Linked DNA regions of Caenorhabditis elegans. The protein of the gene in region 2 interacts with the protein of the main gene of each other region in a pairwise test. Each region holds a gene or a part of one and is shown on either strand. Other genes may lie near its edges. The genes, in order: ceh-63 and ceh-14.

Evidence for each region.
Region 1: the proteins of ceh-14 (region 2) and ceh-63 interact in a two-hybrid assay, tested with the Caenorhabditis elegans proteins (one study listed by BioGRID).

What each region holds. Positions count from the first base shown.
Region 1 is NC_003284.9:3,672,202-3,676,129, forward strand, and holds ceh-63 (Homeobox protein ceh-63), read right to left. Parts: upstream 1,858-3,928; 5' UTR 1,488-1,857; coding exon 1,473-1,487; intron 1,429-1,472; coding exon 1,369-1,428; intron 1,323-1,368; coding exon 1,242-1,322; intron 1,183-1,241; coding exon 1,046-1,182; intron 343-1,045; coding exon 177-342; 3' UTR 73-176; downstream 1-72. Other genes in the region: Putative protein tag-52, read right to left, coding at 2,050-2,229, 3,859-3,928. UniProt on the Caenorhabditis elegans protein: Probable transcription factor, modulating expression of helix-loop-helix protein mbr-1, perhaps acting in concert with homeobox protein ceh-14. May play a minor role in axon guidance in the DVC interneuron.
Region 2 is NC_003284.9:7,530,721-7,534,648, forward strand, and holds the start of ceh-14 (LIM/homeobox protein ceh-14), read right to left. Parts: upstream 2,013-3,928; coding exon 1,907-2,012; intron 1,142-1,906; exon of another isoform or gene 993-1,141; intron 764-992; coding exon 673-763; intron 616-672; coding exon 511-615; intron 1-510. UniProt on the Caenorhabditis elegans protein: Probable transcription factor, modulating expression of helix-loop-helix protein mbr-1 and homeobox protein ceh-63, perhaps acting in concert with ceh-63. Binds to a motif including the sequence 5'-CTAAT-3' in regulatory promoter elements.

The DNA.
Region 1 (3,928 bases), 3.9 Mb from region 2:
AACGTGCAAGACTTCAAGACTATTTGAGTTTTGACGTAATGACGTTATTCGAAAAAGACGAACAATGAAAGAATCAAAACTGAACATTTTATTGAATTTCATAATTTTGCTCAAATAAAGTATGTTTTTTTTCATGAAGAATTCAGTATAAAAAAGTAGACAAAGAGCTGCAAAAATCAAACATTGTTCTGTTGATCAGAAGGAAGTGAATATGCAAAATGCGAGGGCCATGAATGGAAAAACGTTTGCAAATTCTGAACATGCTGAGACGATGGATTTTGTGGCGAAGGAGAACGTTCGTCAGACTTCTTCATCATGCTTTTTCGAAGAGGAGATGTACATCTGAAATTTTACGGGTTTGATTATTGAATGTTTACATAACTTAGATTTTATATGGTACGGGCACGTAAATTGACAACACTTATTGCTCATTTATTTTTTAAAATGTCAACGTGGACGTTTTATATTTTTCAATTTTTTTAGTTTCTTTGGGAATTCACGAGTACTTTCATTTTTATTGTTACTGTTTCAATTTTATTAATTCATTTTACATCTAAAATTTGAGAATTAAAACGAAATCTGAAAATTGAGCAAAAACATTTGTCAATTGGGCCTAGGGTACAGCTTTTAAAAAAACTAAGCTGAAAAACGCAAGGCTCACAATTAAATCTAACATTTGACCTTAAAAACTAAGCCTCAAAAGAGAGCTTCAGATTTCAGGCTAAAGTTTTTAAGCCTATGTTGTGAGGCAAGCTTGTTGAACGTAGAGTTTCAGATTCAACTTCTAATATAGGTTTTCAGGCTTTCTCAAAATAAAGGATATGTCAGTCAACGAATTTCTGTTCAAAATTTTGAAAAATGCAAAAATTATAGGTTTCGCCTTTTTTTCATCAATTCTACTGTGAAAATTTTTTAGCGGATAAATTTCAAAACTGGGATGTACCAACAATTTTAACATGAAAATTAAAAAAAAAAACATTTAAACTTGCTTCGACCATTACTAATAAAAACGTTTATTTTTAAAAATTTTTTTGATCAAATAAACCTTCGTTTTTTAGTTCTCCGGTTCTGAAACCAGGTCTTCACTTGACATTCAGTGAGTTCAATTGTTTGAGCCAACTCGCCGCGTCGGTCTTTGCAGATGTATTCATTCTTTGCAAATTCCAACTCCAAAAGTGTGACCTTAACATATTAAATTGAGTGGAAAATAATTGGAAATGTCAATTATTCTAATGTTTCACCTGCTCCGATGTGAAAGTTGTTCTTTTAGTCGGTCGATTGCTCCTTTTCGGTGGCGGTTTGATGTTCTTAATTTGTTGGGACTAAATTGGAAAATTGATTACTTTTTAAAAATTATCAAATACTTACCGAATTGGTGTCATTTGACCATGGAAAGAAGTCATATGCAAATTTGTTTGACGTCATATTCTGACAAAGGGAAGGTTAAAAAAATAATATTATTTCAAACTTACCGTTTTAGACGTCATGCTAACAACACAATGAGCAAAACAGGGGCAATGAAAGCTCAGAGCAATTGGATGTTTAATTTGAAGGAAACGACTTTATGACTTTTCAGGATGGGACATTACATGGAAAAGAGCTGTGCAATTAGCATGGAGCGTCGTTGGAAAACACGTCGTTAATTGTAGAATTGTAGCAGATCCTACCCTACCCGGTAATAAAGATTCCAGCGTCAAACAATTATATCTATTTGTTCATTGTAGGCTTCTGTTCTCTTTTCCAGCCTATCAATTTGCAGAACAAAATGCTTCTTGTGATTCATGACTCATTTCATCAAAAATTGTTGGTAGGTACCTGAAAACATGTTTCAAAAGAAGTATCAATAGCTGTTTATTGATAACATAGTGAACAGTCTGAACAGTTTCTGGGGAGAGATATTTCACGAAAACATAAATTTTTAAGGGAAAAATGGGGAGAAAATGTGTAGAAAAAATAGGAACGACACAATGCAGAGATCAACGATCATGAGATGAAAACATACAAATAGATGGACCAAAATAGCTGAAAATTTAAAAAAAAGAGGAAAAATTACATAATTGCGCAACTATTTCTGATTGAATCAATTATTGAAGACTTTTGATTTTTAATAGCCGGTGGTGCTGATTCGGTCTCCCACCACGGACGTGGACGCTCTCCTTTGACTTTGATATCAATGATGTCGTCCTCATCATCGTCCTCAGTGACCATGTTGAATGGCTCCAGAGAACGCTGAAAATCATTTTTTGTTAGCTTGTATTAGTTTTTCTAATTTATTGAGAAAGGGTCTAATGTAAAGGTTCCACCGGGCTTTTGAACTAGACATGTTTTATTTGAAATACCATAATTAGAAATTGTTAAATATGGATTTTAAGCAGGGAATTTTATAATTGAGTTTGCGATGAGTACTCGGCGTTTGCCGCCAGTTTCCTACCCAAGGCTTCGCAACTTCTTACCCAAGCCTTGCCCAAAAAATAAAAACATTTATAAGGAGTTGCCAAGGCTTGGGTAAACCTTGGGCAAGAGTTGGGCGCCTCATAAATAAAAAAAGTCGTGGACTGCCTCGTCGTCTCGAGGCGTCGCCCAAGTCTTACCCAAGTTTTGCCTATTTCTTACCCAATTTATACGTGTGTGTTGAACTTTGATCGCATTTCCTGTTGTTCCGAAGTCTTACCTGCTGAGCCATGATGGTCGCGCGAAAAGATGCACACTAATAATATATCGTACTCATATTCTGATAGATATTTTTGAGGAAGTATCAGACACATCGGATTAATACGGTATTCCCACATACCTTATTTCATTTGTTTTCAAGTGTGCTCCCTAATGATTCTAAGTACAGAATTTACAAAATTACTGTAATTCATGTTTGTTTCATGTCTTTCAATTTTATAAAAGTTTACATTTCAAAGGAACATTTTAGTCTTAGAAAAATTCAAAAGTTGATGCATTGGATTGACTGACTATTATTTGACTATTGGACTGACTAGGAGAAGAATCATCCTGAAGATAACTTTTCTTTTTATTTTTAGATAAATTATTCGGTTTATTAGACAGTCACAGGAAATAAAAGGCAAACTTTGTTCGTACATTTTTTAACAATGTTAGCCATCAGAGCAAAATATTTAGAATTTGACTTTGAAGGGACAAGTTTTCCTGTGAATTCTTTCAATTACATCGAAATTCCTCTATTTTAAATACAAATTACTCAAAAGACAAAGTGTCGATTTACGCTAAACATTGCGCATGCAGGATTTCGGAATCTTGTTTGTTCTTTACATCTGCAAACTTGGGTAAAAAGTTGGCAAGACTTGGCTAAGACTTGGGCAAAACTCGGGCGAGGGAGTTTACACTAGAATTGTTGAAGTTGGGTAAGACTTGGGCATACTCTGGGTTAGAAGTTGGCAAGAGTTGGGTAAGAAGCTGGAAAGCCCCAAACTTGGGGAAGAAGCTGCCGGGAATTGCCGAGTAAGAGCAGCAACATCGGAGCTCTGGGGATGTTCATGATGGTAAGTTACCATTGGTAACATGCAGATTTTTTTATTGGAAAAATCACCCTCGTAATTTAAAAAATATGTTTCGAGTTTCTGAAAATTGCATGCTTCTGGTGATCAAAATTCCAGATTTTGATAAAATTCAGACATCTTCCAAACTTTTTTTAAAGTCATGAAAGTTATATGAATTGGCAAATACCACCACCACACATGTCCTCGGAGCACCCACAATGCACCGCTTATTCCGAGCATATTTGCAAGCTCACCGCAAACTCAATTCTAAAATTTCGAAGTCTGAAATTTATATACAACAGAAAATCAGGTGGCACCTTCAGTCTCTTCCCTAGTTAACTCTTCAATCACCAACCTGTTGGTAGCTCAACTTGCGAATGTCGTCCACTGCAAGATGGCGACGTGGTGGTTCCGAAGCCACAGAG
Region 2 (3,928 bases):
AAGAAATTTAAGACCGTAATAAATAAAATTATCAACCTTATTGGAGCAAGTTTACGGTAACGCACTGAATAATTTTCAGATTAACTTTTTTTTTATTAGAGTGATACTCTGCAACCATATTTTTTGTAGTCATCTATTTTTAAAGAAAAATTTTAATCTGAAGTCAGAGAGCTGTGATATTATATTATAAAAGAAAATTGAACGTTTACTCAAAAAAACCTTTTAAATTTTTATTATTATCATTGAATGTTTGAAATCGTTCTCTAATTTTTTATTCTAAGATTTACCAAAAAGCTATCCCCTAGTTTCCAAGTTGAATTTAAATTCTATTCTTCTGGTTGAAAATGTTTTCGCACCAAATATTAAAAAAAAAAAAAACATAAGCTTTCAAAGACAATGTTTTGTTATCATACACTTCTCCGTTCTATTTCAAAATATGTGAGTAAGAAAGCTAAAAAGCCGCACTACGCATTTCTGTGATACCAAAAAAAGCTAAAACTACCATCTTACTTGTAAAAGTGTGCCCGGCAATACATAGAATCTTCGCGCAGGAAACATGTCGCACCAAGCTCGTCTTTACACGTAGAACATCGGAGGCATGATGAATGATAACATCTGAAAAGAATGAAACTTTGTCGAGAAAAAAATACTAGAGAAGAACAGTGAACCCACCTTCCGTTGACCTTTGAAACGAACCGATCTCTTATTTTCTTGTCACAAAGCGAACAAATGGCTTCTTCGTTATTCGGATGGCCTGCATTAACTGTAATAAATAATTCAACTTGTTTCATATAGCGGCGTGTCGGCTAGATACCCATTCTTGACACATATTCTTGACACATGCTTTATGCTTGACATTCTCCTTGTCTTGTCCATTTTCCCTTGCTACACACTAAACCTTATATATTCTGTCATAATATTGTTGACTCCTACTGTTTTTACTTAATTTGTGGCTAAACAGGTTGGAGGAACAAGAGAGAAAACAGGAGGAGGGATATAACGAACCTAACGGTAATTCAATGCTCATCGCCAGAAGCTTGCAGGTGTGCGTCCTCCCCATAAACTGCTAAAGGTACGGATGATGCGCGGAGGTGTGACCAACCATTAAAATATCAAATTTCCAGAAGAATGATGGTCCAGTATTAGCAAAAATATTATGCTATTTTTGTTGCTCAGAGACACAGAAAATACGAACACGAGGCCCGAAACGAGGTATCCGAGAACGCGCGAAAAGGTGTGATAGGTTTCGAAAAACGTTTCCAGTGTGTAATATTGAGTCACAATAGGCAAAAGGATGGTCAACTAAAAAAACGCGAGGAGAAGAAAGTGATAAGCGACAAAGGCCACTGCCGTTGGCTACTGTTATTGTAATATGAAGTATGAGAGAAAAATGGTGTAGTTGTCGGTAATGTTCAAAAGGACAGGAAGCGAAATGACAAGGATGGACTTTTTTCTTTTCTTTTTGTCGTATGACTTAAGAATATGGGGAATACGTTTTTGCTTATGATTCTGAAGTATGAAATGTTTTCACGAAATGGTGTTGAACTAATTTTCTAGATGTTTACTAAAAAGTCCCTTGTCCCGGTTTTAAGGGGTTTGTGATTAAAAAAACAAATTTGCAGCTCAACAGCTGGCATTCTCTGAAAAAATCAATTCTTCACACTATGCATTTTGATAAATACGAGCAATATATGGTACTTGTTTATTAGCTGTTACCCAATATGTTTTCAGTGTATAAAATTCTATGATGTCAACACGTAAATAACCATGATTGCTCCTGCGTCTAAAATACAAAAAGAAAACATTTTTAATTTTTGGAAAAATTGAAAACATTTCGGGGTACAGATACAAAAAATACCTATTTATTTTAATCGAGTATATCCGAAGAATATGTTTCCAAACCTACCATTACTAAAGTCTTCCTGCGGAGAAAGAAGCCCGGTGCTGCACATCACGATATGATTGTCCAGCTCATCGCACTCGCCAAGAGTCAAAATGTTGTGTCCCAGCATGTTTGTTGAAAAAGGCCTCTGAAAATAAACATAGCGAGTCGAATTCGGGATAGACGATTCTGACGATTTAGTTGAGGTGAATATTTAAGCGAAACCAAAGATATAATGTAATTTATTTTCTCTTTATTTTTGTTTATTATATGAAAACAAAAAAGAAAAAGAAAGAAAAAATTTGATTAGCTAAAAGTCTAATTTCAGAAAAAAAAAGTATTCATGAAAAAAAAACCGCACGCTAGCTTGAATAGCTAATGAACTTTTATAAAAAGCCTAGTCAAATGTTTCAGACTCATGATCAAACTCGTATGGAAAGTTAAGAAAAAATGTCGTTAGTCGGTTCTTGAGACTACGTGTATGTTATGCTCCACGAGCCATGAATGTCCCGAAAATAAAGTCCCGCCCATTTCTTGTCTCACGCCAATGAGCGGGTAAGAAGCCATGCTCTCTTGTGCATTTCTTAGCTCTGGGATACGATACATCTCCCGAAACAATGGATTCAAACCTAAAGTTCACTAATTGAATGTTGCTCAAATGACTTATCACATCTAAGCAAATGTTTTACAGAAACGGCCGCGAAAATAAGAAGATTGTTTTTATCATCGATAAATTCAGAAATCCTCTCAAATCCGCTCGTTCCTCGTGATTTTCGGAGCAATAGCATCTTTCCAAAAAACTTTGTTTATATTCTACTTTCAAAATGATTGAAAAAGTGCAAAATTTGAAAAAAGAAAGAAACATTTCAACTTAATTGATGTCAAAAGCAATTAAGAGAGGGTGTCCTAGTTTCATTAATATTGCGTGCTTTTTGAAATGAAATGAGAAAATGAAATGATCAGTTAGGTCAAGAAAAAATTAAATTGCGGCATGAACATGTTTTTGTGGATTATTGCATTATTAGAAACTATTGAACTTTTCATGAATGGGTTCCTTTTAAATGGTAAAAAAAATACTTTAATGAATAGAAAATTACAGTTGCTCATTTTAAATGAAAACAATTGTTGAATTTTCAGGAGTAGAGTTTCAGAATGAAATATCATCTTGGAAACAATAGAATTAACAGAAATTCAACTTGAGGAGCCTAACAGTAGTAAACATTGATCTTAAAATACAAAACAGTCGAAACTATGAATAAGTAAAATATAAACTATTTAGTAAAGTAACCCGATGATTGAATTTCATGGAAGTTTTAAAAATACAAAAATAGCTTCAAAATGTCTATTCAAAAATTATCGTCAAATATACGTATTACCGTATTAGTATTGTTTCTATTAAGCTTAAATCTTTACTGCTCTTATGTGGCAACTCATATCTTGAGTTTTGGATTCTATTCAAATTTGTTAAACTATTGGAATATCAAAAGCACACATATTTGGCACTTGTTCCGACTGAAAATGTTCCGACAAAGCAACAACTTTGAGCTTTCAATGTTCAACAATTGTGGTACAAGACTACTAGAAAAAGTTCTTATAAATTATTTTACTTAATAAATAACAAAAATAAACATGAAACAATGTAAGTTGGTAATGTTCCGGTTGATCATTTTTATAGCAATTTCTGTGTGAGTTTCTTTTTCACTACTTCTATCATTACAATAATATGTGATAGTATATTGCTTGTATTTGTCTAGACTAAATTATTATAGGTTCACGATCTGCAGACTGCTTTAGTACTTCTTTTTTGGAAATGTATGGTGCCTATCCCAAGCTTTAAGCCAACCTAAGAAAACATTGATAATTTGTCTGCTTAACAAAAGATCAGAAGTTTACGAAATAGTTAATTAAAAGTAATATAAACCAATGCTGCTCTCAAAAGCAGACAAGACAACGTGCGAGAGCACATCCATTATCCGGCTTGCAGGCCAGGATAGAAGCGCTTCAAAATTAGGTAATAGCTGGGTCTCGGCTCTCGTCCCGAAAAGC